2 linked regions of the Nothobranchius furzeri genome follow. The main gene of each other region encodes a partner of the protein of the gene in region 2 in a complex. Links are inferred from orthologs where the notes say so. Each region holds a gene or a part of one and is shown on either strand. Other genes may lie near its edges.

The links.
Region 1: cpsf2 (region 2) and cpsf4 share a complex: the UniProt entries of both Homo sapiens proteins name them as parts of the cleavage and polyadenylation specificity factor (CPSF) complex. The link is inferred for Nothobranchius furzeri from reciprocal best matches to the Homo sapiens genes CPSF2 and CPSF4.

Annotation. Positions count from the first base shown.
Region 1 is NC_091752.1:65,592,202-65,596,627, forward strand, and holds the start of cpsf4 (cleavage and polyadenylation specificity factor subunit 4), read right to left. Parts: upstream 2,945-4,426; 5' UTR 2,643-2,944; coding exon 2,540-2,642; intron 2,418-2,539; coding exon 2,367-2,417; intron 1,826-2,366; coding exon 1,673-1,825; intron 1,544-1,672; coding exon 1,448-1,543; intron 1,370-1,447; coding exon 1,276-1,369; intron 1,132-1,275; coding exon 1,059-1,131; intron 1-1,058. UniProt on the Homo sapiens protein: Component of the cleavage and polyadenylation specificity factor (CPSF) complex that play a key role in pre-mRNA 3'-end formation, recognizing the AAUAAA signal sequence and interacting with poly(A) polymerase and other factors to bring about cleavage and poly(A) addition.
Region 2 is NC_091742.1:9,301,790-9,306,328, forward strand, and holds the start of cpsf2 (cleavage and polyadenylation specificity factor subunit 2), read right to left. Parts: upstream 2,843-4,539; 5' UTR 2,692-2,842; intron 2,373-2,691; 5' UTR 2,355-2,372; coding exon 2,206-2,354; intron 1,997-2,205; coding exon 1,837-1,996; intron 1,744-1,836; coding exon 1,638-1,743; intron 1,561-1,637; coding exon 1,431-1,560; intron 1,346-1,430; coding exon 1,230-1,345; intron 1,094-1,229; coding exon 906-1,093; intron 815-905; coding exon 524-814; intron 437-523; coding exon 336-436; intron 183-335; coding exon 1-182. Other genes in the region: NADH dehydrogenase [ubiquinone] 1 beta subcomplex subunit 1, read left to right, coding at 3,633-3,769, 3,900-3,936; riox1 (ribosomal oxygenase 1), read right to left, coding at 4,165-4,233, 4,316-4,402, 4,470-4,539. UniProt on the Homo sapiens protein: Component of the cleavage and polyadenylation specificity factor (CPSF) complex that play a key role in pre-mRNA 3'-end formation, recognizing the AAUAAA signal sequence and interacting with poly(A) polymerase and other factors to bring about cleavage and poly(A) addition.

The sequences.
Region 1 (4,426 bases), on a different chromosome or scaffold from region 2:
AACTAACAATTTTACATACATAAAATATTTTTAAAAAACAATTACAAAATTTTTTTTAAATTACAATAAATTTAAAAACTGCGAGGAAAGGGAGAGAAAATGAATAGGAAAGAGGAGAAACATTAAGTAATTCCAGGAGGACTTAACCCCTGACTTGCTGCTGGAAAATAACCAGATAATTCCATGTCATGTGATACGGATGGCAGTGAATGTGTCTCAAAAGTAGGGCTGGGCGATTTGGCCTAAAATCAATATCACGATATATTGAGGATTTCTCCTCGATAACGATACATTTTCGGTTTATTGCACAGCCCTACTCAAACTCTTGTTTTAACGCCCCCTATTGGGGACCTCTACAGTTTCATGTCCCAAACATCTACAACTGTCCACATTCTCCAAACAACTAAAACCACAATCAAACAGCCCAGATGGGAAACAAGGCCATTTTAAATTGTAATAAATTAAGATACAATGATATTTGAACTTTTAGAAAAGCGTCTGGCCTTCACTGGTGTCTGCTGCAAAAAACGATTGAACAAACTTAGTTGAGGACCCCTGGAATAAATAAAATAAGACTAAATTTCTGAAATCGAATTTGAACTCACAACCTCCACCCTGTCACACAGCCCTCCTCTTCTAAAATTAAGTTCAAGTATTATTTTATCTTAATTTATCAAAATCCAAAAATTGCTTTGTTTAAAATCGAAACTGTTTTGATTGTAGCTGTACTCGGGGAATGCAAACAATCACTGACATTTGGGACATGAAACTCCAAAGGCCTCCAATTGGGAGGCGCCAGGGCCCAAAGAGTTAATTCTAAAGATTGGTGCTGTTTGCAGATAACAACACACTTCAGTAGCTCCAAGACTAGCCATTAGCTCATCAGTCCAGTCAGACTTAAACTTTATTTCTCCCAACAGAGGCTTTTCTAGAAGCTCTTTAGAAAAAATAGTAAATATTTATGTATTTCACCTGCTTCAAAAAGGCAGAAAAAATAATTTTTTTAAAGTTGGCTGAACTAAGAGTTGTTTAATAAATTTGTGAGTGAGTGGTCGTACCTTTGTCTGGTTCTGAAGTTGCTGTTGAAGAGGAGGCTGTTCAGAAGTTCCCATAGGCAGCTCAAACCGGGGGCTGCAGGAAAACATCTCAGTAAATTTTACATCTTTGATTGTGTTATTTCAGAATCTCCTAACCCAAAAATCCACTTTTACTAAATAAAAACTGGATCTTAAACAGGTAATTTATGTAAAAAATCAAATAAAACAAATGACTTACTGCATAAATTTACAGGACTTTCCTTCTGGACAGAAACCCACCAGGTAGTTCACACAGATCACCCTTCTTGTGTGTCTGTGTCTGCAGTCAGGCCCTGAACACACAAACATCCAGAAGCCGTTTGAAGAAAGAGCAGAAAAAGAGTTTTTCTCACCCACATGCCGGATCTTACCGTGTTTACAGAAGCCTCGGTCGTACCATGGACAGTCTTTGATCTTAGACTCTGGATCAATGTGCAGGAAGGGACATTCCTTATTGCTACACTCACCTGGGGGTCAACACATATAAGAAATAAAATATTCAGAGCCTTGAAGACAAGTGTTGAGTGGTTAAGAGGCACAAGAGCCACACTTAGAATTCATTTAATGTGTTAAAGATAAAGAGAAAGTCAACTAACCAAACTTTGAGTAGAAGTAGCATTCAGGCATCTTTGTCATGTCATACTCATGGAGAAACTCGCACTGGTCTCCTTTCTTACACAGTCCTCTGAGCCAGTGTTTACACACCACCGTCTTCTCTCCGCTGATGTGACGGAACGGACACATCCCACCTGAATCACATTCACAGTTACAACATTCATCTCATTTGAACAACTGCAAAGTCGGGTTGTTGCAGAGCTACAAAAACAAGAGTCAGAAGAAATCAAGTCAAAATACTTTCTCCTCTTTTGTCATACAAATCAAATCTTTTATGTTAATGTCACTACAAGGAAGAGCGAGATCAGAAGCGGTGGTTGACTCTGTGTTTGGCATAAAAATAGAAGTGAGAATCATAAGTAACATAAAAATGTGACAAAGAGTAACAATAAACACTTTATAAATAGAAAAGGTCTGTTTATGAAAAGATTGCACCGGTTTAGCTATAGTCTCTATTGCACACTAGAAAGAATTTTATTAGGAATTCAGAACCATGATGCGGAGACAACCAGTGAGTGGAGGGTTACCAATACATTTTATTTAGAATTGTAAAGCTTTGATGAACGTTTCAGATTAAAATAAAATAAGCAGCATTTGTGTGTCTAATGGAAACACACATGGACCCGTGACCAACAACAAAACGAAGTAAAAACTACTGAAATTATATTTTTTTACCTTTCATGCAGGTTCCTCTGGTGAAGTACTCACACACAGCTGACCCTGACTCTACAGGGGGACACATTAGCACAGAACTGATTAACACAAGCATGTGTGTACCTGCCGTTAGCTCTCTCATTAGGGTTCATTCAGATAAAGCGGCTAATAGCAGGTAGCATCCCTACACTTACTGTCCATGCCGGGGAAAGGCAGAGGCTGCGCTCCCAGCTGCTGCTCCATAGCTAGTTCCAGATCGAACTTGATGTGATCCACGGTGGCCAACAAGTCCTGCATGTTTGCTTTGGTTTTCTGCCCTCAAGCCAAATAAGTTGTTTTCGCCTGTGCTAGCTTGAAATCGAACCTGTTAGCTTAGCTACCTCATCCGCACACTAACGAAAGCGTAGGCTAACGAAACTTGACGGTCAAACAGATTAACAAAATATAATTAGAAAACATGTAAATAAACTAAGTTTGTAGTTTTACTGCGTAAAAAAAAACTTCTGACCGTGGTTCAGGTCTGTCAGTTCCGTTTTAGTTATCGTTCTACTCGTTGCTCAGCGTGACGGTGTTGGCGCGCGCACAACGATCACCGAGCTGACGGATCTAGACTGAACTAATCGATAAACGAGGCCTTTCACGTTTCACTTGGAAAATGCTTGCCTCTTTATTTTTTATTTTTTATTTTTTTATTTTTGCTTTAATTTTTTGTTTCATGAAAAATGAGAAGAGTACTTATTGAGAAGAATATTATGAATTGTAAAATTATTTCCAGGATGAACCTTACTAGATTCCTATTTTATAGTGAGTTTTTTTTTCTGTTTTAAAATATGTAGTCATTTTTAATTTTCGTTTGTCTGTCACATAGTTTAAAATTTATTTGTTTGTACAATTTCGTAATTAAAATCACTACTGATCTGACGCTGGGTCTGTGACGTCACAGCTGAGTCTCTTCTCCCCCAGCATAGTTGCTACTTACCACATGGCCAGATTTGTGGTGGTTTTCTCCATATTTAATGTATCTTCTTTCATCCTGGAAGGATTTGCAGCTTGTCACCATTCTTTTTCTCATCTTCTCTGTGTCTGGTTCAATTACATAAATTTGGTGAGACAAGTATTTGTAGACCGTCCTCTACGTCATTTACACAAAACCTAAAGTAACTTTTGTCACCTGTCAAAAATAAACACTTTATTGGCATAAAATTGTATTTTTTAAATTCACAGACATCATATGTCAAAACAATGGCACATTTCAAACAGGATCAGAAAACAACTTATTGGCTCATACATTTTTTTGGAACTAGGGGGCCCACAAACTGACATGGAAGAGTAAGCAAGAGCACATAAAAAGTAATAAAAGAAGAAGAAGAAAATATCATTTCTATAGTGCCTCTCAAGATAAAAATCACGAGGCGCTTCACAAAAACAAAAAATGTAAAAATATAGAGTCCACCTTTAATCTTTTGAAAATGTTAAAAAAAGAGTTTAAAATAGGCAACAAAGATTTATTTTGATATTTACAACTGAGGCATTTCTCTGACATTCAGGTGAAACCACAACTAGCGGGAAACTGTAATGTGCTGGTTAAAATTATACTGAACTCGAAAAACCAATTGCCGTCCAAGGTAGTTTCTAAATTATACAGCTGTATTAAAAAATGTAATGGAAATAATTCACAATATGTAAAAACCAAATGGGAAAAGGATATGCAAAAGGAAATTTCAGAAGATGATTAGCATTCAATGTGCAAAACAAACTCAGCTCTACCAGCTCCAGGAACTGGTGAGAATCCGGATGGAAGAACTTAGTACTAGGGATGTCCCGATCAGGTTTTTTTGCCCTTGAGTCTGAGTCAGAGTCATTTGATTTTGAGAATCTGCCGATACCGAGTCCCGATCCGATACTTTCGATACATAAAAAAAAAAGAAAAAGAAAAGGAAGAAACAGTGCAGAATGTTCCTTATTTTTTTATTTAATTACCTTTTCATTTTAAGTTTTAACAACAGATCACTTCTGTGAGGTAGCTTGAACAATCAAGCAATAAATAACACAAATTCTTCACTTTTGGACTTTATTGCAAA
Region 2 (4,539 bases):
CCCATTTAATCCTCTCCTCGTGTACCGGAAACATCGGGTAAGACTTTTTAGCCTGTTTGAAGAAACTGCCTTTACGGCTCCCCTCGCTCTTCATCATCAAGTCGTGATGCTTGGTTTTCACCGCAGCTAGGTGATCGATGTCATCCTCCACGTCGCTCTCATCACTCGAGTCCACATCCACCCTGCAAACCCAGGAAGTAGAGTGGAACAAGCACAAAACAGATTAAAATCACCTAGAAGGTCATTTATTTCTGTTCTCTGACATCGACAGGTTCAAACTGCTGAGAAAGAGTCAGAAAAATACATAAACTCTTCCTTTTCCTACTGAGACTCACTCTTTTGCTTGTTCGAGTTTTTTTGCTGCTTCCTTCTTCACTTTCTCCTTCTCCAGATATTCCTCCAGGTCCTTGCCCTCGAGCTTCACTCTTTTCCTGACCTGCCAAAAATAAAACAAAACATTTTAAGTGTGAAAGTAGGAAACAAAGACCACGTGAAAAGTTGGTCATCAAAAACCCAGTCTCACCTCCAGATCCAGCATCGTTTCCCCAGGGTTGTCGATGAGGTAGCGCGCCAACGTTCCAGGTGTGGTGCGGTAGGTCAGGATGATGGAATTTTTTGCGTTTTGACACCACTGAATAAAAAGTTCTCTGGAAAAACCAGACTCAAGGTCTGGCTGGCTACAAAGCACCACCTTGGGGCTGGGGACCCGGGCCAGGTCTGCCAGACTGTGACACAGGGTCAGGTGTCGGAACTGGAAGGGATTGTTTCTTTTATCCTCAAAACACCTCATGAGTTTGTCGCTCATCCACTCCACCTACAGGAAATTAGAAATGCGGTAGTTTGTCATATTTCCTACGAGGTCTCCGTTTCAATACTAAGGAAGTGGGAAAACCAGTGACTGATACCTGGGACTTGGAGAATTCCACCACATTGTAACTGACATTGTTGAGCAGAGCTAACGGGTAAACTCCCAGTCCAGCATCCTTTGTCCTCCAAATCTGGTCCAGGAGCTGTGCCAGCTCCAGGACGCGTCCAGCCGTGTCCACGGAAATAAGGACATTCCCATCCCCACGCAAGGTCTCCATTACATTAGCTGTAAAAGTAGGACAATTAGTGAAGGGAGAACATTAAACATGCAAGCTGAAACCCTAACACCTATTTTCAAGAAATTCTTTCAATCTAGTTTAAGCTTGATGCTAAAATTGGTAACCGTTGTGAGGACAACTTACTGAGCAGCAGCTCATCTCTTTGCTTGCGGCGTGGTTGTACATAAGTAGCATTAAAGGAGTCAGTAATCAGTAAGGATGGACGACTAATGCTCTCCAAAGTGCAGCCATTCAGGTGGCTGAAACAGAGAGGAGTAAAAGAACACATCAGCTAAAACCCGACAGGCTACCAGATTTCTGTTTTATACAAACACCTCTGCCTACATTTCTCTCTTATGGTTAAAGTCCACTGCATAGACAATTTCCTCCTCTCCATCCTTGACAATCTTCCATATGGTGCCTCCGATCATGTGTCCAGCAGGAAGAGGAGTGATGGAAAGGCCATGGCCTTTACCTGTGAGGAAAATTAGATGATTTTAACCACATAAACTGGAGGGTTCTTTAATCTATAATGGATTGTAGGATGCTCACCTTTCAGACTGACAATCTGAGAGTACTTCAGTTGCTGGATTTTGTCAAAAGCACTGTCTACGTCATCAAGGGTGAAGAGCGTGAAATCTTCACTGTTGTTTCGAGACTGAGGGAAAGGGAAAATATTTAAAAAAAACAGAGTTTTATGCAAAACAATGTATATGTTAGCATTTTTTAATATAATTACAATTTTAAGTACCTGATATAAATCATACATGAACATCTGACCCATTTTGTAGACCGGAATGGTGGCATAGATAGTACAGTTTAGACCCAGCTTGCCAACAGCATAGGGCAGGGCTCCCAGGTGAATGGGGTCAGGGTGGGACAGCAGCACTGCATCGACCTGATGAACATATCTGGAAGAGATGATGAACAATATTTTTGATTGCAGAACAAACACAAAATTAAGTGAGCTAGGGGTGGAAAAACTACTTAAGTCATGAGTTCAAACTGATTTTACAATAAAGAAATAAATAAATGTTTTCAGCAACTCTGGAAAATGTGTGAACAACCCATTCCTTCTTGTGGATAGCTCTTATTGTTAATTATGGTTTGACATTGTTACCGCTTCATGGCATCAATAATGTCCATTGAAAAGTTCTCGTCCCATCCACAGTCCAGCAGGAAGCGAAATTCATCCACCTGCAGCAGGTAACAGAGGGCAGACTCCTCCTGAACCCCTGACACGGCTGTCAGCTTGATAATGGACGTCATTTTCCTTCACTTGTCTCGCTGAAATGACACAACAGAGCCCACAAGTACAAACAACTTCAACGTCTATTTCTTGAAACTAGTTTGAATATGAACAAAACCACGCACACATGTGCCATTATTTTACCGAACAATAATAGTGAATTTCATATCACTGTGAGTACAAGGGCTTGTATTCATCTCGTTACAAAGGTTAAAACGTAAGAAAATCTAAATGAAAGCTGTCTGATTTTCGCAACAATTGTTGTCGAATTACCCGGCAGTCTGCTTAGCCTGCTAGCTTAGCCACATATTAGCTTGCGTATATGAATGAACAAAATCAAGGGAATGGGAGACATACCATCAAATACAAGAAAAAAATAAATATTATCTTTCGCAGTAACAGAAAAAAACGCCTAAATGTGGGGGTTTTCTTGTAATAATAACATCCAAGACATTTTTGTTAGCAATTAACAGCTCGACTAGCGGCCATGTTTTCACGTTCGTCACAGGTGAAAGGGCAAATGAACGTACCACTTACAGTCAAGAAGTTCTAAATCAAAACACATAATTTAAAGTTCTTTATATTAAACTTAAAACATAAAAAATGCAAAAAATTGGAATTCAATATAATGAATATAGAATATAATGAAATAAATATGTAAGTATTTATCGATTTTCATGATCACGTGATCCTTTTGCATTTGGTAGAGTCCACGAATGTCCTTCGTTTGGTGAAGGAAGACCTGAAGGCCACGACTGTGTTAAAAAGCGGGTAATTTCTGGATTTATGTTTTATTGTCTGAGTCTGATAGTTATAAAAGCTTTGAGCGAACGTTTATTAAACTAAACATTAACAGGTAAAGTTATTTATAACCAAACGTCGCAGTAGTCGCTAGTGTTTAGCATGTTAGCTGTGGAGGAACGCTTTAGCTTCAACTGAATGCGGTGTCCAGCTGTATTTTCGGTTACATTTCAACATTTTCTTTGCTTAATAAAATGTCCTACATCATATATTTTAGGGGGATGTTTTGTTTATTGCATTTGATCCAACATCAATAAGCTGATGGCCATAATTATGTCGTTGTTTTGGAGCTTGGCTCTTATGAACATGTTTTCTTTTGTTTAAAAAAGAAAAAATAAATTGGATAATAACATACTACAACTGAAAACAACTCCCACCCCCAAAAAAGAGCAGGAACAAGCTTAAACTTGATTGATACCAGTAACAAGCTTTAGTGAATATAAAACATAATCAGTACTATGAAGTTAGTACAACTCTGTGCTTTTTTTGTAGGAACCATGGTGAAGTTTGCTCTTTCTCAGATAAACTGGACACACGTATTGGTTCCTATGGGTTTTGTGATCGGATGGTACCTTGATAAACAACAAGACCAGAAGCTGACAGCTTTCAGGAACAAAAGTGTGTTGTTTAGAAGGTAAGAAACCTCACACACACATACCACGGTCTCACAATTCATCTAACTTTGCAAGCAGCAAGTTCAGGTGTGGAATAAAGATTTTTTTAATGCAGCCACATGGAAAACAAACCTCCTTTCTTCTTGATAGAGAGCTGAAGCCTGGCGAAGAGGTGACCTGGAAGTAGATGCCCAGACAGTCCTGTCAGCTGAAGTGTGAATGGTTGATGGATGGTCTTCAAATCGCTTAATTGAAAAACATCCTGTATATTATTTTGAGTTGTATCAACTAAAAAATAAACATGCCCTTTGTGTTTCAAAGAAATAATGTTTATTTTATACATTATGTATCAAAAAGCTGCGAAAGAACCGTATCCATGACTACTGAAGTTTGTTTATGAACATGGTCGGTGTAATTAAGCTATCTGAGGAGGCTCAGCTGTGCGGATAATCCCCTTCTCAAAAAGCAGTTCGGCCAAAGCAATCTGTGAGGAGAGAGGAAACTAGATTATTTTCAGAAATTCACACCATTAAGGCACAGAAACGAGTTTGAATGTCAGAACCCACCTTGTCCTGAGCAGAGTCGCATGGCAAGCCTCCTACTGTCACAAAGTTGGGATACGAGTGGATCAGAAACTCAACGGCATCCGTGTGCTAAAGATAAATAAAGTACCAATTAGAATGTAGATGAAATCTTATAGACAGATTTAATTATTTCTACCTCTGTTTGTATTTCAAAACTCTTCAGCTCCTCTTTGTGATAAACTCTGGAGTTGTCCGTGGTGTAGTAA